Linked DNA regions of Saccharomyces cerevisiae S288C. The protein of the gene in region 3 interacts with the protein of the main gene of each other region in a biochemical or structural test. Each region holds a gene or a part of one and is shown on either strand. Other genes may lie near its edges.

Region 1 (8,098 bases), on a different chromosome or scaffold from region 3:
TAGAGACACTAGAACTAACTCCAAGGTCTGCATTATTACTTAAACCACTAGAAACTCAAAACTCGGGGCTATCTGTGACTGGGATGGAGGGACCAAGCCTTTTGGGCCGTCTTTATAAGGGATTCTCTACGTGGTGGCACAACGATAAAGATCCTGAAGTAACATCACAACGTGAGGAAACATCGAAGCCGAATCGTCACGAAGTGAGGTCTTCAACACCTTTATCTGGAGCTGCTTCGTCAAGCTGTTTCCAATACAACAATGTTCGGGAACCAGTTCAATCATCTGCTCATGCATCACCAATGCTGACACCTAGCGGAACCAGGTACCCATCGGAAACCAACCTTACTACGTCACGTTCTGTCTCGCCAAATGTTTTCCAATTTGTTAACAACGATCATCAAGAAGATCCTGAAGACCCAACAACCTTTAATGGTAATAATGTCCATTTAGAAAAGAAAAAGGACGAAGATAAAAAATAAGTAGTTAATGGCTTCAACTCCATTTATGACTAGTATTAGACGTGAATTTTTTTTGATTAGATTACATAAAAAAATATACAGTAATTTTATTTACATGGATTTTTGTTATAGCTGGTATTTTTATATCTTTTTTTCTGTTTCAAATGCATATAGAAAAATTGAAGAGTAAGTTTATATAAACACCTTAATTACGGGATTAAAAATAAAACAAGTTTACAACTATAATCACCGCAAAAGAACTCAGCGAAACAGGAGCAATGAGTGAGAAAGAAACAAATTACGTGGAAAATCTCCTTACGCAATTAGAAAATGAACTTAATGAAGATAACTTGCCTGAAGATATCAACACACTATTAAGGAAATGTTCTTTGAATCTTGTGACTGTTGTCTCCCTTCCAGATATGGATGTTAAACCACTACTGGCTACGATCAAGCGTTTTCTGACGTCTAACGTATCCTATGATTCATTGAATTACGATTACCTTTTGGACGTTGTGGACAAGCTTGTTCCCATGGCTGATTTTGACGATGTTCTAGAAGTTTATAGCGCGGAGGACTTAGTGAAGGCCCTTAGGTCAGAAATAGATCCATTAAAAGTAGCAGCATGTAGAGTCATTGAGAATTCGCAGCCAAAGGGTTTATTCGCGACCAGTAATATCATCGATATTCTATTGGATATTCTATTTGATGAGAAAGTGGAGAATGATAAGCTCATTACAGCAATCGAAAAAGCGTTGGAAAGGTTGAGTACAGATGAATTGATTAGGCGTCGATTATTTGATAATAATTTGCCATACCTGGTGAGCGTAAAGGGTAGAATGGAAACGGTTTCTTTTGTCAGATTAATTGACTTCTTGACTATTGAGTTTCAATTCATCAGCGGTCCTGAGTTCAAGGATATCATATTTTGCTTTACTAAAGAAGAGATACTGAAATCCGTTGAAGATATCCTCGTTTTCATCGAATTGGTTAATTATTATACTAAGTTTTTGCTGGAAATACGAAATCAAGATAAATACTGGGCTTTAAGACATGTAAAAAAAATACTGCCAGTATTTGCTCAACTTTTTGAAGACACGGAGAACTATCCTGATGTCAGGGCCTTTTCTACAAATTGTCTTTTACAGTTATTCGCAGAGGTGTCACGAATTGAGGAAGATGAATATTCTTTATTCAAGACTATGGACAAAGATTCTTTAAAAATTGGGTCCGAAGCAAAATTAATAACCGAGTGGTTGGAATTAATTAATCCGCAGTACTTGGTAAAATATCATAAAGATGTGGTCGAAAACTATTTTCACGTCAGTGGCTACAGCATTGGAATGTTGAGAAATCTTTCAGCAGATGAAGAATGTTTCAATGCTATAAGAAACAAGTTTAGTGCTGAGATTGTCTTAAGACTACCGTACTTAGAACAAATGCAAGTAGTAGAAACCTTGACGAGATACGAATACACTTCAAAATTTCTGCTCAATGAGATGCCAAAGGTGATGGGCAGCTTGATAGGTGATGGGAGCGCAGGTGCTATTATAGATCTTGAGACTGTGCATTATAGGAATTCTGCCTTGAGAAATTTACTGGACAAAGGTGAAGAAAAGTTAAGTGTATGGTATGAACCTTTATTGCGAGAATACTCCAAAGCAGTTAACGGAAAAAATTATTCCACAGGCAGTGAAACTAAGATTGCAGATTGCAGATGATTATGTTGCATAAGCGCAACTATAAAGGCGGCCTTGATTGTTTAATGTACTACCAGTATTGATTCCTGTCTGAATCAAAAACTAACCTTTTGGCGAGGTGGCCCATTCAGTTTTCTTCTCCATAAATTGTATAAATCAGTATGTAAGGTCTGGCAAGTACTTATAATTCACATTTCAATGTCTATGTAGCATGCATGATTTTTATTATAAAGAAAAACTATTCGCCTAAGCGCGTTCGTTTCTTTCCCACTAATTGCGAACGATTTGCCTATATAAATACTTAACGGCACCCCAATCATCCACACCCTCTGAATGCCGTTCTTCAACTACTTTTAAATCACTCTCTTTTAGTAATAATTTCAAAACCTCTCGTTCTTTGGCGTATTTTGCCCTTAAAGGTATTTCTAGGTGACAGGTCCCTGATGCCGCCAAAAACTTCGATATCATGTTAACTACCCATTCCGGATGCTGAGGCGAATATATCGGGTCGGCGATCAATATGACGTCAAATTCATTTTCATGTCCAAATTTATCTATAAAATCGTGAGGATTAGTCCAATCTAATATCTCTGCTTGAACGAAATCTCCTAAATTATTTAATGACACATTTTTCTTCAAATTCGTCACAATCTCGGGTAAATCCGTCACGAAGATTTCTATATTTTCAGTTCCATAAAGTTCTTTCCATTTTAAGGCCCATGAAAGTCCTACTAAACCAGTGCCCGCTCCTAATTCTAATACTTTAATCTGTTTGATGTCGCTGTTCGCTAACATGTTCACATTAGTGGTATGTAGGTAATCCAGGTGATCTACGACTAATTGTGAAAGTATTAAAGATGATCCCCATGTTTTCCAACCAAGATTATCGGCCGTTAAAGAGGGTTCATGAAGCGGTATGGAAGTGCTTAGATTTCTTAATTCAAAATATCTTACTATGGATGGTTGGGCCGTTCTCCCACAGTTTTCGGATATCCTTGAGCTCAATTCCTTAAGAAGTTCTTGTATGATTTCCTCATTCAATCCGCAACTATTATTGTATTTTTTCAATACACTAGTATAGTAGCCCAACAGTAGTTCTTTGGATACTGTAAATCTCAGCATTGGGATTTTATTGCATATCTTTTCCAACGAGTTTAACCTCTTGTTAGGCCATTCTTCTGTATACCAAGTCAAAAGTCTTTTCAGCAGATCGGGTTCCAGCCCATGACTCTTGCAAACCTCCAGTACAGATTTGTTCTTCCCTGTCTCCTGATTGAAGTTTACTTGTCTATCGGGCTTCAGAAGTATTAGTATACAAAGGATAACTTCTGGCGGAGCATACTTCACGGAGGGCAGATCCAGATTATCGATAATGGTGTCATCGTCGTCACTCTCTTCTTCATCTACAGCCGTTAATATTTCGTCACGTTGCGGTGAGCAAGGATCTTTTGGCTCTCTCTCTGCTAGATTGAACTGTAAAGCCTCAACCTGGATGTCATCAGGGGTGTACAAATCGAGAGGATCAAACATAGTGAAATATCCGCTATGGAACTCCTAACTTGCATGAGTTAGATACTTGAAAAGTAATATACAGATTGCACTACTATTATTTTGTAGCTCATCGCGAAATTGAAGAAAAAATTTACGATTGGAAAAAAAAAAACTACTATCAGAAATAGGTGAACCAATTTTAATGCCTGGATAGAGCTGCATACGCTACTAGCTTAAACCAATATTGGTGTCGCCTGTTTTCCTTTACCCAATCCAATATACCACTATACTGCGAATGAAGGTGTTGAAATAATTTGACAAGAGCACTTTATCCATTTTGCATGCGACCTTTACTAGCAATTTTTCAGCGATCTTTGCGGGCTTTAAAATAAGGTCAAAATTAAAGGGAGAAAGATAGAAGACAGTAAATAAAAAATACAAACCACAATAAGCATAAGTGGCTAGGCGAGTCTTAAACTACAGAGTCAAGCAATGGCAACAGACCTAAATCGTAAAAGAAGTGCTACCTCAGGCTCACTGAGCGTCACGAACCCGAACATAAAAGCAACTAATCGCAAACCAGCTAGAGTTTATAGTGTTTCTTCTGATATAGTACCGCAAGCGCTGACACATCCCGACGAAGATGTGCATCTAAAAACATCCAAATCTCCTCATGATGCCGCTCCTAGATGGTCACAGGTGGGGTTTCAATCTATATTCCATGATGGTTCCAATGCAAGGCGCTCGACGGATTCGATTGAAGAGGAGTACAGCCAAGGCACGGAGAATAACGATGGTCACTCCGAAATAGGTTCATCAAGTAGTAACCGAATGGAGGGGAACACCACGTCTAATGATAGTTTATTTTCTTCCAACTCAAGGGGCAATAAAAGGCGACTGTCCATCTTCACCAATTCAAAAGATAATATGAGAAATCGAAGCAGGAGCGGGTCAAAAAACTACGGCACTGTTATTACCGGCACAAGTAGTAACAACATAAGTAGGAGTGGCTCTAAATTGTTTCATACGAAATCTAATATGAGTGTGAACAGTTTACAATCTTCACTGTCTACAGGACATTCTCATTCAAACAAAGGCAGTAATGTCTTTAGCAAAATGGCAAAAAAGCTTTTACCCTACAAGCCGCATAATTCCATTGGTAAAGACGACGTTGAACCCGTAGTTCCCAGCCCATTCAGTAAATTTCTGCATTCTTCATATGGTAAACATAGGTCACCCGTACAGTTTATCCATACTTCTACTGGAGGCCTTATTGACTCTGGAAAATCTGTATATTCCTTTAACCCTAGCATTAACAACAACCCTAATGATACAGCTCTATCGCTGATCCAAGATGATGCTTTCGACGCGACTAATGTTTCTTTACTACATGATTTACTGAAAAACTTGCCATCCTTGATAGCAAACTATAAAAGCTTCACCGTACAGGAGTTATTTGTTCTGGAGGGGAATATCTGGGGTATATACTGCAGCATAGTTGTGGAGCTATTTAAAAACAAGAGGGTATGGCAATTGCCAGCAAAAATAGAAGATATTGACCGGCTGCTGGAATTTTATATCACTTTGAAAACACAAACCAAGGCTGCCGTAACGCACTCAAGGTTTTTGGCCGAAATCGAGGAATTCATTACCACTTCACTTTACATTTTAGAGAACCAGATTGTGTTCAATTATGCCAATGAGGATACCGTAAATACGGCTTTGAAAAGAGTCGGCATAATCTGGAAGGTGTTTTACCAACAGGTTTACTACGACATGATGGCAGTGTTACTGCCCTTCGAGAAAAGCTTCCAAAAAAATAGTAACTACTGGCTTGACGGATATCTATCTGAACCTTCAAGGTACGCACCGTCAATTGATGTCCTTTTATTAAAGTGTTTTAGAGACTCCATCATTCTTCCGTATTACGAAAGCTTCCTACATACAAATGACGGTGCCAGTAAGAGTTTTCAAAGATATATTTTCAGCGAGGAAGAACAGAACGGCGTCACAGAGGAAGATAAACTGACGCTGCTGCAGTGTTTTGGGATCCTGAATACCATAAAAGGTAACAGCAGAAACCAAAGAATTATTGGTGAACTTCTTGAGGGCATACGCATGAGTATATAATTAAATATTTTATTTAGTAATATACAATAGTGGCATATAGATAGGTGTATTTCCTTTTTCTTGTTCCAAGAATCCGGAAAAACAGATGCTCTTTTCCGCCCTATAAAGGGGCCAATGGGGAAAGTGCAGATCATATTAACTTGCTAAAGAGTCAGAAAGAACCAAATAATAAAAAGAAGAACTAATGTTGTGCGCCATCAAAAGCACAGGTTATCGGTATCCTCGCACGGGAGCCTTAAATCTACTACGTGGACGACCATTTAATATGGCCACCCGAAAAATAACTACTGAAAGGATCCCCGGCCCTCCCAAGCTGCCAAGAGAAGAGCAGGAAGAGTTCGAAAGACTTCAGAGGATTGCCACATCGCAAGAGGCAATAGATCAGTATAATGCGCAGGCCACCGGCGATCGTACAAAGGAGAGTTTGAATTCACCGCTTTTAACCAAAAACGATATTGGGTCATTCTCGCCTGAATTTTCCAAGACCATACCTGAATTCGAAGGTGATGTTAACCCCAAGACTGGTGAAGTTGGGGGTCCCAAGCAGGACCCGTTGAGACACGGCGATTATTCGTTTAACGGAAGAGTAACGGATTTCTAGATATTTGGTCCGGCCAATTTTTAATAATACTATTCTTATTTGATGAAACTGCGTAACGTTCAATTTACTTTTCAATATGTATGTTGTTATGCTTTATTTTGAATATATAATATATATATGTGTGTGTTATGAAATGCATACGTTTCATGTTTGCCTAAAATCTCTTTCTTGTGAGCGTCCTTCGAATTCTTTTCGAGTATGAATTGAACCTATTTCGCATGTTTTTCGTGGAGACAGTCTTTCTAGTGCTTTTTAACCTTACCTTTGGCATGTTTTTGATCTTTACACTGGGCACATTCATACTTATCTTAGCCATGATTGACAATTCAACTATCTTGTTTCTTGCGAATTTGTGGTACTCTAAAGGATTTAATTTTTAACGTTTTGTTTGTCCCACTTGGTATTCCCCAGGCGAAAAGATATGTGGGAACTATCATGTTTTTGTTGGTACAAAATAAGGCATTATGCTAAAAACATACTATTTAACCACGTACACACATATTTATTTACAAGGATACCAAACTTGATCTTATTAACGGAGGCTTAAAGTTGGCTCAAGAAATTGTTTTGCTTGATTCGCTGCCTGTTCGCCTTCCTTATGTTCTTTCTTCTCTTTAAGAGAGCCTGTCCCTCTGGGTCCTCAGCCGCATGTTCGACAACGTGATCACTATCCAATACGCTCCATAACCAATTTGGATACTCCTTGTCCTCGAGTGCCACTGCGTCTTTACCGCTCTTCCATATGTTTAAGTTAAGCGATGTTCCCGCAGGACACGACGACACCACTGACTTAACCGTGGGTTTATTATATAAGATACGACTGGTCGATATCAACCTGTAACCCAAACTGCGCGCCAACATCTTCAGTCTTCAGCAGCTATTTCCTTTGCTGTAGATATAACTGCTTTAAGAAGCCTATTAGTTTTTTCACTTTCGAGATTTTTGCGCCAAACAAGGGCGCACAAATACCCGGCATCACGCATTTATTATATGAAGAGAATATTAGAACAGGCATTTCAAAGCATGATTCAATGACTATAACATTGCTATAGAGGGGGTAGTGAAGAATTATCTAATGTACAAATGGTGAAGCAGTATATATGCGACAAAATACTAAAAAAAGTAGTGCAAAAAGAATTACTGCAGAAGTTGGTCTCTGTAGTGTGGTTGGTTATTGACGAACTTGGCACTTCTCTTATCGAGCCTTTTCTTGTCGAACCTCTCAGTTTGCCAAACACGCTGTTGAGTCTGCACGCCCTTTTTGTCGAAGGCAGGTAAGAACGATCTCGTCTCTGCAGCGACCAGGGTACCTTGGCCTTCGGTCAGTATCACCTCGGGCTTTAAGTCTTGCTTGTAGTATCTTTGCAAGGACCTGTGGCCAACTTTGATGCCTGTCGGTAGATGCAGCTCTATACCATCGTTATATAAGTACTCTTGTGGCAGATCTTCGTCGTCGCTTCCGGCTTCGTCGCTGCCCACGTCTTCCCAGTCATCTTCGTTGTCTGGTGTTGTGTTGCTATTAAAGTTTGCGTATGAGCTTGTAAAATCGTAGAATTCAGATATCTCCAACCTTTCATCCTCGCTTTCGTAGGGAATTTTACAGTGTCTCTTTGCCAACATGTGCTGTCTTACAGCGGTCAACGTTCTCCCCTGGTAATTACAAACAATACAAATGTTCCCAAGACCAATCTTCTCCGACATGTATTTTACCAAGC
Region 2 (7,701 bases), on a different chromosome or scaffold from region 3:
ACTATAGTATAGAGACGGCCGCCATTATATATTTGTAAATCGGACTTATATTCTAGTGTTTCTTTTTTTCGTAACACTATAGATAGCTCTTGATTGCAAACCATGAGCGAACGATAATATTATAGGCCAAATTGGCGCATCACCCAATATTTGAACACCCAAATATAAACATTTGGAGGATAGACTTGCCGCTACAATTAGTTGAATTGTCTCATTTATATCGGTATTCGGGTCCATGGCCCTTTGTGCTTGTTCTTCATTTAGTGCTGACAAATCTAGGGCATCCTTGTCCTGCCATCTTAAGAAATCAGTGTACGATTTCAACACATCACACTCCTTCGGTATCAAGTTCATTTGTAATCTTCTCAAAATCCTTTCTGCTTTTAGCCATAAGACACGGTCCGAAAAATCCAATAATGCTGAGTTAGGGTTGTTGGCATTGTACCCGCGTGCCCAATCCTCTACACATTTCATGTATTCCGAAATCACTAATACTGCAGTGAACATACATGTGGTCGCAAATACAGGAGTATTGAAAATTCTGCGCTTGCCCTGTTTAATGTACGTAAAAAATGAAGTCCACGCATCCACCATATTCAGTGCATACTCGGTAGCTTCCCTCAATGAACCCATGTCATAGCAAACTTCCTCCAAAGCTTTATTCATATTGGACCAATCTTTCAACCAGATTTTCTCAATAACATGTGCCAGGTCCAAACACCGTCTCATTTTGGCAAACAAATATACCGGAATTATTAACCTCATTGCTGGATTGGCGTTTATTGTTGACATGCTATTCTCGGTAGGTGTCAAGATGCCACCATTTTTCAAATAAAGGTTTTCCCAGTATTTTAACATTGTATCGATCCGTTGTCTGGAAGTCATCTTCCACTCAATATCGTCCAACTCAATGTTATTGCTATTGGTGTTGTTATTACTGATCCTTGCGTTATTTCTTTCAATAAGTATTTTCTCATGGATAGATATCAACAATGATAGACATGTACTTAACGAAACCCTAGCATTTCCGTAAAAAAAACTATCGCCTGTAGAAAGAAACCTCAAACAATTTTCATATGCCTCGTTACCATTAGACAATTCAATCAACGAAAATTTCGAATCTAACGTTATTTTGTATTGACATAATAGGTCCGACCATTCATCGGAATTTCGGCACTGATATAATTCTTCTTTATAGCATGGAACACCACATTTTAAATCGACTGAATGAAAACAGCAATCAGCACCTACCAGTGAAGAAAATAAGTTAGATATAAGTAATACCGCATGGCAAGTCCTGATACGTGACTGCGCCAATACAAAATATTGGTAGTTTTTGTTCATTTGATTCGGCGCGTTGTATTGCTCTCTTATTTTTGAAAACATATGAGGACTGTTTTCATATTCCATAATATGATCACTCTCAATAGGCGGCTGGCATAGGGACTCTAGGGGCAAATTTAAACGAGAGGCCTTCAAGAGACGAATAATAGTCGTCAACTGACCATGCATCCCCTTGATCACGGCTGTATTTTTATTGAAAATACAGTAGAACGTTAGCAATACTAATGTCTGTATAACCCATAACTCTGTCGTCTCCGGGTTTTTCTCACTAACTTTCAAGCTTTTCCTAATTTGGGTGCTAGCTGCATTAGCTAACACTTTTGCATGCGTCGAATGAAACCCATACAATGCTCCGACCATGGAGATAGATAATAACAAGGGATAACTGTCCATATTAGGTATGATAGAAGGAAGATGAATAAATGAAAAAAATGGATGGAATTCTTCCTTATAGTAAGTCACATAATCGTTCAATTGACTAGTTGTGGGGAAGGCTCCTGAATCGATATTATTGTCGGCTAGCATCATACTCCTTAGCTCATTGGTAAAAAGCACTTGAGATACTGAAGGGACAGAAAACGGAGATAACAAATCCGAAGGAGTAAGAACAGGCAGCTGTTTCTGTGTTGCATTAGAATCAGTTTCGCCGGGGAAAGACAAAGTGAGAACATCGTCGTTCACATGAGAATTATTTTGCTCTGTCCCGTTTAATACCTTGGAAATATCCAATTGCCTTGAGCTGAAAAAATTGGATAGATCGTAGTCCATCATGACGCTATCACGACGCCTCTTATGAGAACTATGGGAAATAGGGTCAGAATAGGAAGGCTCCTTTAGTTGGTTTTGTGGTGTACTTGGTAAATCTGTGCTTCCATTCAAACTCAAGTTTAAGCGAGGTGATAAAGAAGCTTTTTCATGATTTAATGAGGTAGCAGAATGGTTTGGAGGTGACTTGTTTGGTATAGATGACCTTGATGAAGGTGGAGAATAAATAAACCCAATGTCATTGAAATGATTGAAGTTGATCTTGAAGGTAGATTTTGGATCAGAGTTGTTAATAAACTCTGATAACCACTTGTCATCTATGGCAGCAGGATCGATATTACTATCCTTATCATTGGGCTCCATTGATGGTTCCAGTAAATTATTTGTGCCTGGATTGAAATTGATCGTGGAAGAGGAATCTGAAACAGTTGTTGGTGGGTTTTTAGGAGATAGTGACATAAGCGGCTGCTCATTGCTCATTTGCCTATAAGTTTGATTTGCCAAATTACTGTAACTATTAGAAGCCGTAGTAGAATTAGACGGTATAGTATTCGGGAAGCTTGACGGAAGGTTAAATTCAGAAACTGTCGGTTTATCATGACTGAAGCAGCCCAAATCAAATGGCGAATGGTGGCTAGACATGTATCCTCCCGCACCTGCATGTGCAGAGTTCATTGTCAAAAGATCGGTTAAAGATGGACCGCTACTTAAGAGATACACTCCAGGTGTAGCAACTGTACTTCCATTGTTGCTGTTCACTATGGTACTAGAGGTGGAATTTTGCTGTTGTTGTTGTTGTTGTTGTTGCTGTCCGGAGGGGTCATTGTTAAATAGATTTAAGTTAAACTTGATAGCTTGCGGTGGTTCGTCCAGGGTTAACGGAGGTAAATCCAATTCTGACACGCTTTCCATGAGCTGCTTCGCGGTCATTTGTGGAGTAGAAAAGCCGACTTGATGCGGAGCGTCTTCAACGAGCTCGAAATTGGTAATTGAATGGTGGGGGCTATTGCTACTAGACATGTAAGTCATTGCACTGGATGCAGAGAAAGACGCATGTCTTTTCGTCTTATGCATGGAAGAGGGAGTGTTCGCCCTGTCGATAACAGCATCGCTTGATGCAGAGTGAACTGGCACGCCTTTCGTGCTGAACTTGAACTCTCGAAATCCTAGGGAGCCTGCCTTACTAGGAGGAGTTTTCTCTCGCTTATCGTTCATTACTGGGGCCGAGACGGGAAGTTCTACATTATTTGATTTGGCCAAGGCAACCACGGCCTCTTTCAATTCTTCAGATGTCTTACCAGCAAGGTTCTTCGGGGTGGGTAGAATAGTCTCTTTATTTCCGGCTATTTTAATGATATGAAGGTCGGTTGGATCATCCGCCGCCACGGAATGGCGCCGCTTGGAGGCAAAAGAAGAAGTCGAATTTGGTGCTGGCGTCATTCGCCGTGGATCCCCCGTACCTACAAGAGCAGCATGAAGTTTTTGCTGATGCCTGAGCACTAAATCTCTACGAGCAAAACACCTACCGCAAAAGATACAAAGATACGGTTTCTCACGGGTATGCGAATGCTGATGTCTCTTCAAATGCTCCTGCCTGACAAAACCCCTAGTGCATGTGGGACACAAGAACGGTCTTGGCTTATCAGTCTTAATAATTCGAGATTTTTTAGGAATGGGCAGAATACCTTGACCAGCGGGCTTAGCGAAATTAGATTGATTACCGTTCACAAACATACTTGGCTCCGGCACTAATAAAAAATCTTTATCTGCCCTATCTATTCTAGTATCGCCAATGTCTTTTAGCTTCTTCGCCCTAAAGTTTCTTTTTGGTGCAAGAGTCTTCGAGAAAAACGTGTGTTGAGAGAGGCAATGTTTAACGAAGAAAAAAAACTCTATGGAAATCCAAGAAGTCCTTGTTTCTTTGTTTTCGTTTCTAATATATGCAGGGTCAAGCGGGAAAAAGAAAGACAGACGGAAAAGTGCCCAGCAACACGGAACAAAATTGTCCAGATTTATTCGAGCGGCCGCGGTTAGTATGCATAATGCAGGCGCCCCTCGTCCAAATGCGAACGGTTCCATCCGAAACAGGCCATTTCCCAAAAATTATTTCTCTTAATAGAAGTTGCTCGCGTAGTTACCTATTGTCGATGCCGCATACGCAGTTACCTTATCCGTTGCCCTACGGAGAATTTCCGCGATGCAGCACCGTGCGGCGAGATCACAATTTTCCTTGTACACTCTACTCTGCCCCTGGAGTGGTTCACCCCCGTCTGTGCGTATTTTCGTGTATGATGATATAAGGTCGTTACTACCGTTGATTCAAAAACAGTTGCTTCTTCCATATATTGTAGCACGAACAACTATGGCCGGCCGCAAATTGCGACAATTACACCTAACGCAGCATTAAGGTCGCAGGAAATGTTATCTGCCGAGCTGTTTATCTCTGTTTTCCAAGATTTTTTCAACCAGCCCATGAGTCTGCTGTTGGCGGCAACCCAGTTACAGATAATGGTGCATGTGATAAGCTTCGTACCACTATTCGTAGTTTGTTACATCTTGTAAGCCAGTATATATATTTGTTAGATTGTGCCCTAACGTTCCAGTAATTGAAGGGTAACCGAGGTTTCCGTGGAAAAAAACCGTGTATAAGCAAGAGGTTCCGAGCGAAAAAAAAAAGTATAAAAGAAAGCACAGGCAATGAGATTTGTTTTTCGCTTTTCCTTCTTATTTGTTAATTCTATTTTTGAAGTTTCCTTCCGAAAAAAAGTAACTTTGTCCTAAAGTACTAATCCACCGCATTAGACAGTACGAAGATCGAGCTATTTATTTGAACACTCGGTCTTATTCGTGATAAGCGTAATGTGGAGAGATCAATTTCCGGGTCATTTATAAGAACTCGAGTGGATTGCTAGTTGTTTTGATTAGCTGAATGAGACTCGAGTGTCAGAAGATGACTATATTTTTTTTCTTTTTTTTTTTAGTTATGTTTTATTTTTGAACTTGTACTTGCACATGTATCTTATTGTTTCGTGATCTTGTAGATCCGTATGGGTGCAATCAAAGGTTTGAATTGCAGGGCTTTCATCGCGCGGATCTCGTTGTTTGCGTCGTACTCTGTGCTGGTGACTATGGTACATTTTAGCCCGAGTTTATTGCACTCTTGAGAAAACAGTTGGACAGTGGATTCGCTTCTAATTGTCGCGGATAGGAGACACAGTTTGCATCGGTCTAAAGCAAGACATTCGGCCAGACACTCGCATAGATCAGGAAGGATAGTTGGGTCATACGTAACATCTGCCCCCACTACTAAATCTATATCCTCAGGAACTCTATCGCTGCCCCACCATAATCTTTGCAACTTGATGTCTGGTTCGTTCTCACGCACTTCATTGTTCAATTCAAAATTTCTTTTCAGCTGCGTCTCAACGAGATTCGAATCACCATCCGTGACGTACATCTTATTTACGAACTCGTGATACTTTTGTAAAATGACGAGACTCACTATGCCTGTGCCAGCGCCGACCTCAAGAACATTTAATTTTTTCTTGCCATCGTCTTGTCCTTGTACCGGTGCCAACTCTTGTAAGGGCTTATGAATAAGGAAATCACCCATGTATAAGGCAGCTTCCCATGTCCTGAAACCTGTAGTACTGGCCGCACTGATCAAATTCGGTGTTTCCTCAATTTTGATCTTTACGTCCTCGTCAAACCTGTACCTCACGACGTCTTTCATCATCGGGTCTGGCTTGCCTGTGCTTAATAGTTTTATGTACTTCTCATAGAGATAATCATATATCTCTATCTCGTCTTCGCCATCGTTGACAATTGTGAATGCCTTCGCGAAAATCCATTCGTGGTCTAAGAGCATCTTGACTATGGTTTTGCAATAATATGCATTCGTCTTTTGCACAAGTTCCATCTCACAAACAAATCTCGATGCATGCAGGACATCGTTAGATTTGCTTGTTTCCAACTCTTCTAGCAAGTATTTTCCAGGGCACCGCTGATGTAATCTATCGTAGAATAGATCTTCATTCATGTTATCTTTGACGAGGAGGGTCAAGTTTTACTAGCTCGATTTTTCTGCTTTCTTTTCCTTTTTCATTTACTTATACATTCTTCATCATTTTTGCGATGATGTACTAACTGCTAGTATTTATTTCGCTGTTTGTCGTGTCCGGACAATCAGCATTAAAATTTTCTACAGAGTTTTCTAATACATATAAACATTTTGGCTTTATTCCCCTAAAGCTTTCTCAATGGCACGCTGAAAAACATTGCATAAAACGTCGCTATTTTCCAAACCGACGCTCACTCTTACAAGATTTGTTTCGACACCATATTGAGCTACCTCGTCTAATTCCTGGTAGTGGGCAATAATAGCATATGGACACGCCAAAGTGAAATTCGTACCGAGAGAAGGTCCTTTGCACAATTCCAGATTATTGAAAAACTTCTTTGCCTCTTCAATATTGAAAAAAGTTAGTGAAAATAAACCTCCATACCCACCATCTTTTGTAGACATAACGCTGTCATAATTCCGCTTGGTATCCTCTGATGTTAAACTGGGGTAATATATTTTCTTGAACAATTTTCCCACCTGAGGCAATAACACCCTTTTTAACAATATATCAGTGTTTGTATTCACCTTGATTGTACGTTCCACGAAGTCTCTCGAATTTCTTTCCAGGCATAACGCATCTTCGCACCATAGGCAATCTTCATATCCGTCTTCAGTCTTCATAAATTTTCTAGCAAACTCATAAATCTTTCCTCTAGGATTTAGTACTAAGGATCCTGCAATAACGTTCGAGTCGCCGCTGAAGATTTTCGTTAGCGAACTACAAACAATATCGGCATACGGTAATACATCTATATTGACAAAGCCACCCACAGTTTCATCGACCACTATGTAAAATGAATACAAGTCTGATAGCCTTTTCAGTTCTTGTAAATCTCCCATTTTCAACAGTGGGTTCGATGGAGCTTCTATAAATACCGCCAGTATTTGCTCACCAGAATGTAAAATATTTTTCAGAGCGTTCATTGACGTTGAATCTCCCTGTCCCAAGAAATGTGTGTGATTGAACTTCCGAAGAATGCTCAGAGTATCTGTATATGGGAATCCAAACATGACGGTCTTCTTGAACGGAGGTCCATATCCAATCAACTTATCTTGTCTACTAGAAGACCTTGATAAGCGCTTGGCATCGAAGTTTAAAAGCAGCCTGTGGGCAGTGAAAATGGACGCCATTCCACTTGGAAATAAGTAAACATCCGTATTAGGGTTGACATGAAACTTCAAGTCATCGGTAGCTGTGTTTTCAAAAGTACTGTTTGAGCCACTTTCTCCCATAGAAGTAATTGTTTCGGCAGGTATGTCCGAATTCAACTGATCATCATCCAGAGCCTCTCCACTGCCAACATTGAATGGACCGTTGCTCTCGTTATAGTGTTCAAAAGAGAATAGGTCCGATAGACCTTCAGAGTCAATTTTTTCAACAACTTTTGTGGCAATCCTCTTTCGTATTAGATATTTGGCTTTATCAGCAGCAAGAAAATTTAAATTTCTCCCAAATCTCGTTTCTATAT
Region 3 (9,202 bases):
TTCAAAATTCTCCAAATAACTGATTTTCATTTCAAATGTACGGATAATAGCATGACCGTAATCAATGAAATAAAAACAGTAAATTTTATTGATAGGGTACTCGCATCAGAAAACCCTGATTTAGTTGTGATCACAGGTGATTTGTTAGACTCACATAATACTATCGACTATCAAACGTGCATTATGAAAGTTGTCCAACCAATGATTTCTAATAAAATACCCTACGCAATTTCATTGGGTGTTTCTGACGAATCCAATTTGGCCACATCGGCACAAATTAGAGACTTTATCAGGAATTTACCTTACACATTTAACAACGTTGCATCAGAAGAGGGTCATATGGCCATAGAAGTCTCATTTAAAAAGAAGCTCACGAAGAATACTCTTTTGGAAAGAGACATTGATACCGAAGACGAAACAAACCCATCAGAGGCTTTATTTTTCGTCTTTGATTCATTTGCGCCCGTCAATAATTTCCTACAAGATTATAACGACCTGATTGGGAAAATAGACTTTGGCTTGGCATTTCAATATTTTCCATTATCGGAATATAGGCCTCATGGTTTATTTCCTATTATTGGGCAGTATAATGAGAGGTCTACCTTAACAGTAGATACGCCAAGGTCTAGAGGACAAGTTTCAATGACGATCAATGGCAAACATTACAAAAGCTTCCTTGATATCCTGAGTCTTTGGAATATAAAGGGTGTCAGTTGCGGACATGAACATAATAATGACTGTTGCTTACAGTCAAAAAATGAGATGTGGTTATGTTACGGTGGGTCCGCTGGTATAGGCTTGCCGAGAATCCAAGGTATATATCCAACCGTTAGATTATTTAACTTGGATGATATTTTGGACGAAATAACTTCGTGGAAGAGGAATAGCAATCTTGTTGACGAGGTTTACGATTATCAGTACATCTATAAGGGGAAGCAATAATTTCAATGATTAATTTTGTAAGGTGAACATTGACTGCCAGCAGGATAGATGATAGATAGACATAAACAAAATATACATAACACACGGTGGTGTTTTCTTTTTACACATAATATATTTAATTCTTTTTCTTTTTTTTTTTTTTTGGTTTACAAGTCCACTGAGGGACATTTTGAGTTATCACTTATGGTCTCCTGTAGCATTATTAAAAGAATAAATATCGAAAAGTATACATACTTAATAAAAACTTCAGGCTATTAAATAAACATCAGAACACATTGAGGACAAAGCCATAGAAGTTTGGAGTAGATACGGAATTTTTATTGTATGTATATATTATATATCTAAGCATTTTGCTTTTTTTTACTTCATAATCTTTCAGAAATCATTATATTAAACGGATAGTCATTTGTTTTCAAGGCGTGAAAAAACCTGAGAGGGAAAAGAATAGGACTTTTATAATCTCTTGATGACTGCTTCAGTGAATGATGAAGTAGTAGCAGTACCAGCCAAGTCACCTGTTCTGTTTTCTGGACCTGATGCGATAGTAGACAATACTGCATTTTGAATTTGGTCAGCATGATTCGTTAGACCCATGTGGTTTAACATCATTACTGAAGATAAAAGTAGGGCAGTTGGATTCGCTTTATCTTGACCGGCAATATCAGGGGCAGAGCCATGGACAGCTTCAAAGATCGAGATTTTATGACCAATATTGGCAGATGGAGTTAAACCTAAAGAACCGGCGCTCAAACCAGAGTTCAAGTCGGACAAGATATCACCGTATAGATTTGGACAAACAGAAACAGCGTCTGTGTAAGCAGATGGGTTGGTGACCACCTTTAACACACTGTTATCAATAAGTTCAGTTTCTAAAGTAAGGTCAGGATACTCTTTGGATAGTTCTTTGGCAACATTAACGAATAAACCATCAGCTAATCTCTGGATAGTAGATTTATGTACCACAATAACTCTTGGTCTGCCGATGGCTCTTGCATATTCAAAAGCGTATCTAATGACTCGCTCAGAGGCATCTCTTGTGATCAGTTTAATAGATTGAACAACGCCAGGGCAAACTATGTGTTCGATACCAGAATATTCACCTTCGGTATTCTCTCTGATAAGAACTAAATCAACGTTTTCGTAAGTGGTCTTAAAACCTTCAATAGACTTTGCGGGACGAACGTTGGCAAATAACCCAAATGTTTTTCTCAATGTCAAATTCAAAGATCTGTGACCTTTACCAATAGGTGTAGCTAGTGGACCTTTTAGTGCAACCAGGTTTTTTGTGATAGATTGTACGGCAGGGTCAGGAATGGTCGTTAATCCGTTGACAAAGATAGGGCTAACATCACAAGATTCCCATTCTATGGGGACGTTTGCTGCACTAAAGATTTTCTTTACAGACTTGGAAATTTCAGGTCCGATACCATCACCTTCAATGAACGAGACCGTGTATTTGCCGGTAGAAGGGTTAGGTTTGCCGGTATATCTTCCGATTGAAGGTTGCTTTACAGTAGCCAAAAACCTCCTCGAGGTGTTTCTAAAAAAAGTATTTCTCAACATTATTAAAAAATATTATAATTGTTGTTCGTTCCCGATCTGTATCTTATTATCTACCAAGGTAATTCAGGTTCAGAAAAAGTGTATCCAATAATGTCATGCACTTGGAATATATATTTATATAAATATGAATAATAAATGAAAAAGAAATAAGAAAAGAGGAAAACTTTAGAAGGAGGGTTTTTCTGATATGACTATGATGAGAAACTAAAACCTTAGGGCCTATAATAAGGGACCTATGAGCTTTTCAATAACTTATATATTCTTTAACCAAACAATGGAAGTTACAGAAAATAGGAACTGACCAACCAGAGCGGCCCGTGTCATGCCCCCCCTTGCCGAGATGCGGACCGAGATTGCTGAAAGAAGCGCCGAGTATCGCAAAAGGCCCCTGGCGGGGCAACGACAATTTCTTCGCCGAACCTCGGAATCGACTAGCAGATCACAGTGCTTAGGAAGCTAAGGCTGCGTTCTAGAAGGGCTAGTGAGTCTTCTCAACCATGACTGTCGTTGTTTGTGTTTGGTTTTATGTTCACCTCTAGGAACTCTTTCTGTAGGGTCTTTGATGCCAGTATTGCTGCTGTTTCCAACGTTCCCAAGTAATTTACTAAGTCTGGGAGAAAGGGACTCTGCACTCAATGTTCTACCTTTAAAGGATCTCGGTACAGAAAGCCCATTGTTATCAAAATCTATTGGGCTAGGAAACAGTGCATGATGATGATGATGATGATGATGTATGGTAAAATTGTTGGAGTCAGAAAGTGCACGTGACCTTGGAAGCATATGGTCATCTATTGAAGGGTGCACAAAATCTTCTTCATCGGAGTCAATAGCCATTTCAGGAACGGTAATGTTGTTAAACTTTGCTACTGTTCCTGCATGCGGCATGGTGTCCTTATTCGCTTTTTCCGTATTCGGTATTATATCTGAAGCGTGTAGTATGAGGAATTCGATGACAGTTCTGGAAGCCTCATACTCTTTCGGGCACATTTCATCCTTGGGATGAGACAAAAGTGAGGGTTGTACGATGGCCGCTAAATTGCTTGCTGACATTAAATTCTTCTTTTCATTTCTTGCAAATAAATTCAAGAGCGCGGCTAAATAAAGTATTAAATGGCGATTTTGTTGTGGTAAGAGCATATAAATATCTTCGTAGTCCTTAATGATTTGTTCTTTGTGCTCATTTATTTTTGGGTTTTCTAATATTGGATTTCTAAAAATGTCGTATAATGCTAGGGGAACCAAAGGCTCACTTAATGAGTTCAAATATCTTTTTAATAAAGTTGCAATGTCATGAACATTGAAATCACACCATCCTTCAAATTTACGACCATAATCGGGCGGTTTAGAGAAAACAGCTTGTAGCTCTCTAACACGTTTATTGCTTCCCGCAATACGGAAAATTCCTGTTGTGTCTAATGCATTCTCTTTTAGGTATTTCCCACTTTTTGCTATTACCACCGGTATGGAACCAATTTCATTTGTACTTTTTTGGATAATTACTTCCTCTTGAGCAACTTTCAGTGATTCCTCGAGTGAGACGCCAAATACTTTACCATCAAATTCGTTTTGCAAATTAGTAAAGGTGTCCCTATCCTTCTTGCCCTCAACAGAAGACATTGAAGATGACCTATTCTGTGGAGAACCCTCTTCAGAAGAAGGTGTAGAAAGTAGATTCATGTTAAACATTCTATTTTATGTTGTGTAATAAGATATGTCCAGAAATATACTATGGTTATTTATGTACTCTTTCCTGTGTACGCGTTTCGATTATTTTGCAGGTTATATTATATACTGCTATCACATGCTAAAACAAGAGTATCTAACAATGGGAACACAAAGCAAGTATTGATTTACTCATTCCAGTTGTGTAATTTTCTTCTAAAGATGTACTTAAATAAGAAGAAAACAATGATTGTCTTCGACCTCAACGCCTCGAACCAACGCTTTCCCCAATAGCGAGAGAAAGTAAGTAACCGGAAAATTAATTACCTCTTTCTTTCACCTGCAGGGGCTGAGGTGCTTCTGTTAGTGCGCCTCTAGAAGTATCGGCCATAATGAGATATATACTTTGGTTGCCCCTCCGGTTTTGAGGGAGTTTTAGCCCGATGAGGCTGGTCCTCCCCTCCAAGGATTTTTTGTATTTCCTATTTCGCTCTAATTATAGAAGCACCAACATACGGCGGGGTATAAACCAAACAATAGCCGCGGAAGCCCAATCTTCTTCTCCTTTTTTCGTAAACGGATAAAAAGCTATGACCAAGAGCCAGGTAAGTTATACGTAATACTACCTCAGGACCGATGTCATTAATGAATTATAATGGTTTTTAATAGTTTTTTCCATAGTATATCTAACGGGGTGGTGATACGTCGTAATAGTCAAGAAGTTGCCGTTCCTCCCCCTCTACAAAGGGGGCGGTAATACGAAAAGGTCCATTTTTATGATGGGTTCGATTGTAAACATTCGGAATATAACTATATGACAAAAATGTGTAAGAAAATAATATATAAGTCTATTACCATACTATTTTTATTACGACAAAATTTTAAAGCAGAGAATAAATGAAAAAGATCATAAGGCGGTAAGGTTTGCTCTTACAGAACCACCTTTTCTCATTTAGACTTCTTACAATTTGTCGTAATATTCTTGCCAGCCTGGAACTTCTTCCTTCATACCGTGTCTCTTACGAGCAGCAAGAACAATTTCACCAGCCTTAGAGGTTGGGTCCAATGGGTCAGAACCTAAAGTGGACCAATGGTCGAAAACCATTTGTGGGAAAGCTTGACCACCGGTAGCTTGTCTCAATTCACCAGTGAAACCGAAAGATTCGTTAACTGGCAAGTAGGCCTTGACGGTAAACAATGGAGTACCTGGTCTTTGTTCTTCAGAAACGACTTGACCTCTCTTCTTGTTTAAGACGGAGTAGATACCACCGACGGCTTGTTCTGGACATTGAATTTCGACCAAGAAAACTGGTTCTTGGATCTTTGGATCAGCCAACAAGAAACCGGCGTAAGTAGCTCTTCTCATGGTTGGGATGATTTGACCACCACCTCTGTGGATAGCATCGGCATGTAAAGTAACATCCAAAATGTTAACTCTGACAGATCTCATTTCTTCACCGAAAATTGGACCTTCCTTGGTAGCCCATTGGAAAGCAGCAACAACGGAATCCTTGATTTCGTGCAAGTATTGGACAGCCTTAGTTTGGTCAATAACCAAGTTTGGACCGTTACCGTCTGGACCGAAACACCAGATCTTTCTGGCATCGGTGACATCCCAACCGTAGTCGTCAGCCATGATTCTAGCTCTGGCCTTGAAATCATCTCTTGGGTTGATGATACCGTTTTCAATAGCCAAAGAGACTTCTTCGTCAATTGGTTCAGCCTTCAAGTAGATTCTGTTATGCTTGTTTGGAGACTTGGACAAAGCAGTTTGAGAAGATTCACTTTCAACAGTTTCTCTGTAAGCGACAACTGGTGGGGAGATCTTCAATGGAACACCAGCGTGGTCGTGTTCCAAATCTTGCAAACAAATTTCCAAATGCAATTCACCGGTACCAGCAACGATATGTTCACCGGATTCAGACATATAGGTCAAGACACATGGATCAGACTTGGACAATCTCTTCAAACCTTCGACCAATTTTGGTAAGTCGTTAGCGTTCTTGACTTCGACAGCGACTTGCACAACTGGAGAGACAGAGAATTTCATGACCTTCATGTTGTGAGCAGTTTCACTGGTGGTCAAAGTACCAGTCTTCAACAAGAATTGATCGATACCGACTAAACCGATAATGTTACCGGCTGGACAGTCATCGATTGGTTCGACAAATCTACCCATCATCAAAACAACTCTTTGAATGGCCTTGATGAACAAATCGTCCTTCTTACCTGGAACGTAGTTTGGACCTTGGATTCTGACCTTTTGACCGGACTTAACAGTACCGGCAAAAACTCTACCGAAGGCGTAGAATCTACCCTTATCAGAGGTTGGCACCATCTTGGAGACGTACAACATCAAATCAGCCTTTGGATCACAGTTCTTGATAGCAATACAGTTGGCATCGTCAGCTGGACCTTCGTATAATTGTTCAGCTCTGTAGGCTTGAGCAGTGACTGGAGATGGCAAGTGCAAGACAATCATTTCCAATAAGGCATCGGCAGCTGGCAAGAACTTTCTCATAACAACCTTCAACAAGGCCTTACCTTCCAAGTCCTTTTCGTCACCCTTCAAGACAATTTCCAACTTTTCTAGCAAAACTGGAATTTCGTCTTTCTTGAAGTTCATGATAGCAGTGAATAATCTGAAGATTGGGTCCAAGATGAACATGTTGAAAGCTCTTTCCAATGGCTTACCTTCAGCATCAGTGTCCTTGTTGGTCCACTTCTTGGTCTTTGGGTTGAAGAAAGAGTCACCCCATAATCTGTCCATCATCTTGGCCTTGTCGACACCGAATTTCTTAGCATATCTGGTGGCGAATTGACGGATAGTGAAAGCCCAACCGTGCAAACCGGAACCGAAGGCAACGGTACCTCTGGCTGGGTAAACTTGGACATCACCCAAAACTTCATCGGCGTAGGTGGAAACGATGACGTTAACGGATTCAACAGTTCTGGCAAAGGTTTGGTATAAATCTTCCTTAGAAACTTGCAATTCCAACAAAGCTCTGTCGACCTTGTTGATAACAACAACAGGCTTGATTCTTTCACCCAAAGCTTGTCTCAAAACAGTTTCGGTTTGGACACAGACACCTTCAATGGTGTCGACGACAACCAAAGCACCGTCAGTGACACGTAAAGCGGCAGTAACTTCAGAGGAGAAGTCAACGTGACCTGGAGAGTCGATCAAGTTGATCAAGAAGGAGTTACCGTCGGTCTTTTGCTTGATTTCCTTGACATCTTCGTCAGACATTTCAGAGTATAGAGAAATAGCGGTAGACTTGATAGTGATACCTCTTTCTTGTTCATCCTTTCTGGTATCGGTGAAACGAGCTTCACCAGCCTTAGCAGCGGAAATAATACCGGCTCTTTGGACCAAGGAATCGGTCAAAGTGGACTTACCATGATCGACGTGAGCAATAACGGACATGTTACGCACATTGGTAACTTTGTCCATTAAAGAACGCATTTGGTCAACAGTGAAAGCAACCATTTTTATCTGTTATTAAAAATTCTTGGGTGCGTAGGTCTGGCTTTCTGGCAAATGGGGTTAAGTAAAAAAACCAGTGAAGCGTTTAATACAACAGTAGTATGCAATTGAGATTAATTAAAGGAAGGCTCATGGCAAAAAAAAATTTTCTAGGTGAGATTTGAAAAAAAATTTTAAAAGTGCAACACGGAAGTTTACCCGGGATTAATATCAACTAAAGGAAAAAGATCACCTTGTTCAAAGGTATGAATTTTCTACTTTATATACGTATTATTTAGTGGACATGCCCAAAAGTGAAGCAGCATGGCGCGCATTCAGTGATGTAGTGTCTGAGTCCTGAGAGTTGTACCCATCGTCTTCAGTGAATAGTTCATCATCAAATTCGGTATGAGCGATCTTGTTGATGGGGATTTGACTTTTGCGGTTGCTCTCTCCCGTCCAACTGTCCCCTTTAAGGGTTTGAGAAGTATCGGAGTTGTTGTTTGAGACAGCATGGCGTCCTAGACGTGACAAACCTCCGTTTTCATCAGCTTTTCTGATATCAGAACGTACTCGTTCTAGTAACGTCAGCTTCTTTCTTTCATACTCTATCTTTCTTAGTGTAAATTCTTTGATCGAGCTTCTTATCCATTCTTCATACCAGCTAATCCACTGTTTTCTCTCGATAATCATGTTGGACGTGATTCGTTGAAGCTTAAGGGTCAAAACTTGTTCGTTTTTAGCTGCAGCTTTCAACTGACGTAGTGCTTCATCGATTTTCATAGGGTTAATATCTCTTCTTGACCGGAACCTGCGTGCTTGTTCCTGTTTCGCCTTTGAATTCTGCTGTGCCTGTACTAGATTTCGCATGATAAAATGCCTGTTGGTCAATGCTTCCTTCACGGCATAAGCATCTCTGACAATCCACTCTAAACCATCGTACAATGTCGCCATGTCCATGGTTGCTATAATGCTATCAATATCACCCACAGCAGTCAATATTTTACCGTATCTTCTGTAAAGTTTATTGTGCTCATCTAGATTAACGAAATCCTGGCCGAAGGCATTTTCTTCTTGAACCATCATCTTGCGATTTCTGGAAACTCTTAGCAGTTTTTCTTGCAAGCTCTGAGAAACAACATATATAGACTTGACTAATGGCCGGAATTCTGCTAATTCTGTGATTTCATCATATGGAGGTGCTAATTGTTTCAATGTTTTTCTTTTCAACCCAGATGCGAGTGATTTGGACTTGTTGATGGGTGTGTACGTATTAAAGTCACTTTCAATGAAAAAGGCCACTTCTTCATTCCGAATAATTAAGGGGTCTTGCGATAGCCTGTTAAACCAAAGTTGGAAATTTCGCGTTACTTTCATCCTATCTTCTTCGCTATTAATTCCGAATGTAGTATACGCAGAGGGAAGAGTAGGAACAAAAGATTCCTGAATGGCAACATTCAGATATTTGAACAATTGGTGGAATTCTTCGTATGATTTTTTGACATTCTTGTATTGTTGTTTGCGAAATGTTGGCAAATTTGTGGAGCAATCAAATATAATAGTCGGATT
Region 4 (7,886 bases), on a different chromosome or scaffold from region 3:
AGACAAGGATGGTGTGAAAACGAGGAGAAATTCCTCCATATGTCCAAGAAAGCCTAATGCGGTATCACCTTTAAGGGTAGAAAGTAATGAATTATCATCACATTCGCATTCACGTTCATTATCACACGAACTTACAAAGCCTTCAGGGCGAAGGAAAAGTTACCACAGAAAAAGTCATGCAATCTCATTCAGCAGGTCTTGTAAGCCAAATTTCATTGACGGGTACGATTCTAATTCAAGCATAGGCGTCAATTCAAGAAAAACTTCATTGGCAAGTTCTTTCTTGGACAAAGAATATCATTCTTCACCGGATACTTCATATACCCACCAAATGTCCCCGAAAAACACAATCATGAATACCAATGAACAATTAAGAAGAAACGCAAGCGGTAGATTCGGGAGTTTGAAAGAATTCGCTGAAAAAAATCAGATAAATATTGAGGGCAAAATTTTTGCTCATAAAGTGGAAACTGGAGACATATTGCAACCACTAATTGACTTAGATATTGACAATAAATGACTGGATCATTTGTCTCGCATTTTTTTTTTTCGTTTGTTTTGATAAATAAAGGACTTAATGTTAGTTTTGATAATGTTAAATGAATATATAAAAATAAACCATGTAAAGAGTATTTTGTTACGCTGTTTCGTTATAGCGTTATGTCAGTGTTATTATTTCTTATACGCGGAAAAGCCTGATCCATTCTGTTCTGAAACCGATCTTCATATTTTAAATTTCGCGAATTAACTAAAAAAAGAAAACAAACAAAAACTCGTTTCAAGTATTGCCAATGATACAAACAAAACGTTTCAAAGTATCTCCTCAACTGACGGACTTTGAAAGAGCCCGAAGATTTAAACAATGGACTGGGCAATCAAAGCAGCTAGGAAGAAAACTCAAAGGAAGCCAGGCTCTACCCGTTCAATCATAGAAACCCTCGATGATCTAAATAATCTAACAACAGATGCACATTCAGAAATAAATCAACGATTGTACGAAAGTAGTGAATGGTTAAGAAATAATGTTTATATGAATACACTCAAGTATGAAGACAAAAAGATGGAAGAGTCTTTAATTAGCCCCGAAAATACGCATAACAAAATGGATGTCGAATTTCCTAAAATGAAAGGAGAATATGAACTTTCTAACTCCCAGAATGATGCCGCAAAAGACGTTACTAAGACACCCAGAAATGGATTACATAACGATAAAAGTATCACGCCTAAATCACTCCGCAGGAAGGAAGTCACCGAAGGAATGAATAGATTTAGTATACATGATACCAATAAAAGCCCGGTTGAGCCATTGAATAGCGTTAAAGTCGACGCCAATGAAAGCGAAAAATCCTCACCATGGTCACCTTACAAAGTTGAAAAGGTTCTAAGAGAATCCTCCAAGACTTCGGAGTCTCCGATTAATACAAAACGCTTCGATAATCAAACATGGGCGGCTAAGGAAGAAATGGAGAATGAACCTATACTTCAAGCTTTAAAGAAAGCTGAATCAGTAAAGGTGAAACCACCACCGAATTCTGGGATAGCGAGATCTCAAAGAAGGTCGAATATGTTTGTTCCACTGCCGAATAAAGATCCTCTTATTATTCAACACATTCCACCAACAAAATCTTCAGGATCAATACCAAAAGTACGAACAGTAAAGGAATCACCAATCGCATTTAAAAAAAAATCTACGATAAATAGTCCTGCTATAAGAGCTGTGGAAAACAGTGATACCGCGGGATCTACAAAAGCATCCAGTGTTTTCGATAGGCTATCATCTATTCCAACAAAATCATTTGAAAACAAAATTTCCCGTGGAAACGTTGGTCACAAATACTCCTCTTCATCAATCGATTTAACAGGCTCCCCCATGAAAAAAGTTTCTCAAAAGTTTAAGTCAATAAACTCCACGGATACTGATATGCAAGAAGCGTTAAGAGATATATTCTCAGTAAAAAATAAAATAACCAAAAATAATTCACCCAAAGGAAAAAACTCTCGAAAATCCTCTATTCCGAGGTTTGATAAGACTTCTTTGAAGCTAACGACACACAAAAAGCTAGCAATCATTGCAGAACAGAAAAAGAAGTCCAAACACTCTAGTGATGTTCATAAAACTGGTTCAAGACCGCACAGTATTTCTCCAACAAAAATAAGTGTCGATTCAAGCTCGCCATCTAAAGAAGTTAAAAATTATTACCAAAGCCCTGTAAGAGGTTATTTGAGACCAACAAAAGCGTCTATTTCGCCTAATAAAAATAAAAATTTAACAACGTCGCAAACGCCACATCGTTTGAAAATTAAAGAGAAAACATTAAGAAAACTTTCTCCGAATATTGCTGACATCTCCAAGCCAGAGTCTCGTAAATCCAAAAATTATCGGCTTACAAACCTTCAATTACTTCCACCAGCAGAGGCAGAACGAGATGACTTAAAAAAAAAGTTTGATAAAAGGTTATCAGGAATTATGAGGTCTCAACAGGAACATCATCGGCGTAAACAAGAGAAACAAAAAAGGATGTCGCATTTGGAACAAGATCTAAAAAAGCAAACAAGCTTTAGTAATGACTACAAGGACATACGTCTAAAAGAATCTTTGGCTCCTTTCGATAATCATGTGCGAGATACCATCAACAAAAATACTGCATTTAGTACCGACAATATATTGGCCACAATAAATACAGTTGACCATCGAGAAATAATCGGAAATGTGACCCCAAAGATAGCCTCTGTCAATGATTCTTTACCAGAGATAAATACTGATTCTGAAGATGAGGCTAGCGTAACTTTAGCGGCATGGGCTAAATCCCCGTATTTGCAAGAGCAATTGATAAGACAGCAAGATATAAATCCACAAACTATCTTTGGACCAATTCCGCCTTTGCACACCGATGAAATTTTCCCAAATCCTAGGCTAAACAGGTTGAAACCGCGTCAAATTGTGCCCAAAAGGTCTTGAATTCGATTACCCCAGAAAAGAAAAATTCAAACTGGTTAACATTAAATCAAGTACACTTTAAATACTCTGGTATTCCCCCTGCATTACGTATATCGTTCACTTTCTTTACTTTTCCTTCTTGCTTTGTTATTTCTATCTACAACTTTGCGTTACATATTTTTAACTATTTGACACTTCACACAGATCTTCTTTCTAAGGCTTTTTGCTTATCCCACTTGGAAATCCACCCTTCACTTTCTACCTTTGGCACAATATATATTTTCAAAGCGTTATCGAACAATGGTACATCTGGCGACTCTTTCTTCAAGATATCGTGAAATGTCAGTTTCTTACCAGCTTTAATCAAACCACCTGCCTTTGTTTCCATGAACACCAACACTTTCTTTGGTGTGAAGTTTTCCTTACCTTCTTTTTTGAAGCGTTCTTGCGGCCCTTCCAAAACTAGGTCAACAAGTTCTTGCACAGTAGTTAACTCACTTACTTCACCTACAAAATCAAATTCATCTTGCGTGGGGTACATAATTAATGCGGGATAGATCAATTGAGATTCAAAATCCATTGGGTCTTCTAGCCTTATTTTACCCTCATTAAGTAACTCTACTGGAGAGTGAGTTTTGATGTTAGTTATGTTTCTCAGCGTCATTGCGCTCTCTAACATAATTTTCTTGTTTTCACGTTCCTGAGCTTCTCTTTGCTGTTTTTCTTCTTTTGCTTTCAATTCTTGTTCTTTTCTATCAATCACTGATAACATATTCAAAATTGATTTGTTCTCTGGGTCAATCCTTTGATTGGCAAATGTTGCGGCTGATTTGGCCTCCTCCAACTTGTTTAATTGGAAAAAAGCCTTGCTTGTACGATAGTAGCACTTAACATTCTTGGGGTTAATAGTTAGAGCTTTACTGCAGTCCTCGATACACCTCCTGTAATTTTTCAGCTCTAACTCACATGCCGCTCTATTGGCATATAGTGACTCATTTATTGATTTATCTTCGCATTCTACAGCCAAGCCCTTTGAGTAAAGTTCCCTTGCATCCTTGAATCTTTTTGCTTTGTATAGTTCGTTACCTTGCTTCTTGAAATTTTCAGCGATTTCGTGTGGTTCGCCTTCATAAGCTAATGCCTTTAAAGCTTCTAACTCCACGTTTTCACCACCTGCACCGTCTGTTTCATCCAACTTGGTCATGAAAAAAGGCATTCTGTTCATTTCTTTCAAGATTTCATCCGATGTTTTATCTTTAAATTCGGATAGTTGGGGTGGAAGTTCAGGATCACCTGGCCCTGGCACATATTTTTGTGGTTTGGTATATCCTCCATTTGCGTTAACGGAGCTCATTCTAGATGCAAAACCAATTTATTCTTTTCTTTTACTTGCTAGAATGTAGTGCTCAAGACCTCACTTTTAATTCAATGCTGCTTTTGAATTTAAGCTCATCGCTCTGAAAAGTGCCGGAAATTACACATATTCTTTTTTTCTTTCTTTTTTTTCCACCTTTTTCCTCACTGCGTTAAGAAAGAGATGAGGTGAAGTTATTTTGTTCTGTGTACTATAATCACACATTACACAGTTTTCTGTGAAACTGTACAAGGTGCCTAAACAGAGATACGAACGCATACGCTTTTAGTATTTAAGTCTTTAAGCTCATTATCCGCACAAGTAAACTTGAGAACACAGACTCTCTACATATAAAGTGCCAGATATCTTGGTAATGCTCGGTAGGTGGATTAACGTACTCTTATCATCAACCGAGACTAGAAACCGTATCAATAATTTATTTTATATAGAGCAGAGCATCTGATCGCTAGTTAATATGCAAGCATTTAAAATTAAAGTGGCAATGTATTGTTGTTGTCCTCTATTCGACTCCTAACGGAGGCCTTTTTTTAGCAATGGCTGACCGCGGAAGGAAAAATTTTTCTTTTCTCTTGAAAAATTTTCAATCATATATATTATTCAAAACGACGCAATTCGGTGAGGAAGATTACAAACGTTGCTAACAAGGGTCAACAGATCACGAGCCAATTTGAATTCAAATTAAATTAGTAGGGGATTTACAAAATTTGTGCGCAGGTGGATATTACTAATAAGCTAAGACAATGGACCAAGAAAATGAAAGAAACATCTCAAGATTATGGAGAGCATTCAGAACAGTAAAAGAAATGGTTAAGGACAGGGGTTATTTTATCACTCAAGAGGAAGTCGAATTGCCATTGGAAGATTTCAAGGCCAAGTATTGTGACTCCATGGGCAGACCACAACGTAAAATGATGTCCTTCCAGGCAAATCCAACAGAAGAATCTATATCAAAGTTCCCAGACATGGGCTCCTTATGGGTAGAATTTTGTGATGAGCCTTCCGTTGGTGTAAAGACAATGAAGACTTTTGTTATACATATTCAAGAAAAAAATTTCCAAACAGGTATCTTTGTTTACCAAAATAATATTACACCAAGTGCAATGAAATTGGTGCCTTCTATACCACCAGCCACCATTGAAACTTTTAATGAAGCTGCCTTAGTGGTTAATATTACTCACCACGAATTGGTTCCAAAGCATATCAGATTGAGTAGTGATGAGAAAAGAGAGCTTTTAAAAAGGTATAGATTGAAGGAATCCCAATTGCCAAGAATTCAAAGAGCTGATCCTGTAGCCTTATACTTGGGATTGAAAAGAGGCGAAGTAGTTAAAATCATAAGAAAAAGTGAAACCTCTGGTCGTTATGCCAGTTACAGAATCTGTATGTAGAGTGGCATTTGGATTTACCCCTTTCATATAATATAAAATAACAAGAATATGTACAATTAGAAATAAATAATCTGCAATAAACCAATCACTAGTATGAAAATTTGAAAGGCGCGTTTTTTTCACTAATTTCAGAAAGAAATTACACAGAAGGTGGAGTTCTAACACTATTAGTCATCGGCCAGTCTCGCACAAAGCACCACATCGGTAATGCCCTTCCACCATGACATATCCTTTAAATTTACTGTTTGGGGTGGGCTAACTTCGGTGCCTGAGCTACCCAGAAATGTTGATCCAATAGTTATTATAAGACTGTTGACAATATCGCTCCTCAGCAACAACTGATTTATTACATTGGCACCTCCTTCAACCATTACTGACCTTATATTGAATTCTTCTTTTAATATCTCAAACAATTTCTTCCAATCGACCAATTTCGTAGTATCATTTATTGGACAAATTGCGTAGTCTACATGTTGTTCTTTTATAATGGGCTCACTTGTGACAACAACGATTGGCGGCTTACCCTGTCGTTTAATAAAAAGTTCTTGCATTTTTGAACCATCAAATCGCCACTTTTGCTTTGTATCTATTATTATTGGCCTTGGGGAATTTGCAGCCGGATCGGGACCCCATTTACAATTCAATCCAGGATTATCAGCTAGCACTGTTCCACTTCCTACGAGTATTCCATCGTGATGATGTCTCAAATAATGCGTCATTGTTTTGGTCTCGGGATGTGAAATTGTAGTCCTCACTCCAGGGCCCCTAGATACTCTCGCGTCGAGCGATTGAGCATAAGTTAGTGTGACAAAGGGCACAATGGTATTTTCCGTTTGACCAGCATTCGGTAGATAGTTTTGCAGAAATTGTGGTAAATCTTCACACAGTGGTGTCAAAGACATATCTTCTAAAAATGTTGATAGTAATACAAAGAAGCTACCAATAGGTTGGTACTGTATTTCTGCTAGATTGTTTCATCGTATCCAAAGCCAGATGTAATGGTTCTGCGAAAAAATTTGATATCTTCATCTTTGCCTCTTTTTTCTGTTTCGGGATTTTCCCGACATCAACTAACTGAAAGGCATGTGGGTTTGTGTGTGTGATGCGGTGTTATATAACCGAATATTCAGTTTCTTCGTAATCTCTACTATTCTTGCCTAGGTCACCAAATTCAACATTTTTAGTTCTTGTAATCTTGTAACGGTTGTTATTGTGAGATTTTTCTACTTTTTCAGCCGATCTTTGTTTTTTGTGATCAAGTTTCTCTTTCTCCTTGTCCAAGATAACGTCGTATTTGGTATTCCCATCTTTGCCTTTTTGCATCGCTTCAAATCGTTTTGCCTCATATTCTTCTGATTCTCTTTGTTTCGCAAGTTGTATTCTTCTATGCTTTTGCTTTCGTTCGTTCTGCCTTTCAAACCATTTCTGTCTCTCCTTTTCTGAATCGACTTCATCGTTATCATCTAAGAGCAAGCACTGCTTGATCAATTCTTCGTTGGTGCTGTAATTGGTGTTAAGTCTCAGCTTCATCGTTTCGTAGTTCTTTGCCACTTGATTAGCTTTGTCGATGTTTTTTATCATATTTTCCTTCTTTGTTTGCAGAACTCGTGCGTCATCTTGGGCATTCCAGGGTTGATCTATCTTGGTAGCTTTCTGCAAATTATTGGCCTTTTTCTTCATAAATAATGGCCTCGGTAAAGGTCTCATATCGTCACTATCGCTCGAATCACTGTTGTCGCTACTTTCTTCACTTTCGGGACTCTCATCACTTTCGGGACTCCCATCACTTTCATTTGATTCTTGGCCATCATTGGGGGTGCGGTTCTTTCCTGTACCATTTAAAATTTCGCCGCCCAAATCACTATGGCTTAATGAGGCTGATTTTTCTGTTAGAGATACGTTTTGGTCTGGATGCTCTTCATCCGCCGAAGAGCTTTCATCTGCTGAGCTTGTGTCAAGTCTCCTCTTGAAATGTCTAAAACTCATCGTATGTGATTCAAATCAGTAACCAAAAAAAATTCTTAATCTAGCGGTGGCGGTAGAAATCTGCATTTGTTCTTTCTTTACTGGGAACAACGAAGAATTGCTTTTCTCAATATATGGCGAAATATTGCATGTTTGCAAAAATTATAAAATGAAATAATGAGCAGCAAGTGGAAAACAGAAAAAAAATCAGATGAAAATA

What was found.
Region 1: of the proteins of EFT1 (region 3) and EFM2, one has a biochemical effect on the other in vitro, tested with the Saccharomyces cerevisiae proteins (one study listed by BioGRID).
Region 2: of the proteins of EFT1 (region 3) and EFM3, one has a biochemical effect on the other in vitro, tested with the Saccharomyces cerevisiae proteins (2 studies listed by BioGRID).
Region 4: the proteins of EFT1 (region 3) and CNS1 form a complex in vitro, tested with the Saccharomyces cerevisiae proteins (one study listed by BioGRID).

Annotation. Positions count from the first base shown.
Region 1 is NC_001134.8:740,445-748,542, reverse strand, and holds EFM2 (S-adenosylmethionine-dependent methyltransferase), read right to left. Parts: upstream 3,692-8,098; coding exon 2,432-3,691; downstream 1-2,431. Other genes in the region: UBX7 (Ubx7p), read left to right, coding at 1-482; HSM3 (Hsm3p), read left to right, coding at 740-2,182; BIT2 (Bit2p), read left to right, coding at 4,145-5,782; SDH8 (Sdh8p), read left to right, coding at 5,967-6,383; mitochondrial 54S ribosomal protein mL54 MRPL37, read right to left, coding at 6,927-7,244; REI1 (Rei1p), read right to left, coding at 7,521-8,098. UniProt on the Saccharomyces cerevisiae protein: S-adenosyl-L-methionine-dependent protein-lysine N-methyltransferase that mono- and dimethylates elongation factor 2 (EFT1/EFT2) at 'Lys-613' and methylates elongation factor 3A (YEF3).
Region 2 is NC_001142.9:658,872-666,572, forward strand, and holds EFM3 (protein-lysine N-methyltransferase), read right to left. Parts: upstream 6,149-7,701; coding exon 5,129-6,148; downstream 1-5,128. Other genes in the region: RSF2 (Rsf2p), read right to left, coding at 46-4,188; YJR128W (uncharacterized protein), read left to right, coding at 4,050-4,409; STR2 (cystathionine gamma-synthase), read right to left, coding at 6,347-7,701. UniProt on the Saccharomyces cerevisiae protein: S-adenosyl-L-methionine-dependent protein-lysine N-methyltransferase that mono-, di- and trimethylates elongation factor 2 (EFT1/EFT2) at 'Lys-509'.
Region 3 is NC_001147.6:573,553-582,754, reverse strand, and holds EFT1 (elongation factor 2), read right to left. Parts: upstream 7,658-9,202; coding exon 5,129-7,657; downstream 1-5,128. Other genes in the region: SIA1 (Sia1p), read left to right, coding at 1-942; isocitrate dehydrogenase (NAD(+)) IDH2, read right to left, coding at 1,396-2,505; GTPase-activating protein BAG7, read right to left, coding at 2,962-4,191; retromer subunit VPS17, read right to left, coding at 7,925-9,202. UniProt on the Saccharomyces cerevisiae protein: Catalyzes the GTP-dependent ribosomal translocation step during translation elongation.
Region 4 is NC_001134.8:546,177-554,062, reverse strand, and holds CNS1 (HSP70/90 family co-chaperone CNS1), read right to left. Parts: upstream 4,293-7,886; coding exon 3,135-4,292; downstream 1-3,134. Other genes in the region: ICS2 (Ics2p), read left to right, coding at 1-520; SLI15 (Sli15p), read left to right, coding at 863-2,959; DNA-directed RNA polymerase core subunit RPB5, read left to right, coding at 5,054-5,701; RIB7 (2,5-diamino-6-(ribosylamino)-4(3H)-pyrimidinone 5'-phosphate reductase), read right to left, coding at 5,869-6,603; U4/U6-U5 snRNP complex subunit SPP381, read right to left, coding at 6,812-7,687. UniProt on the Saccharomyces cerevisiae protein: Co-chaperone that binds to the molecular chaperones Hsp90 (HSC82 and HSP82) and Hsp70 (SSA1). Stimulates SSA1 ATPase activity, but not Hsp90 ATPase activity. Involved in only a subset of Hsp90 functions.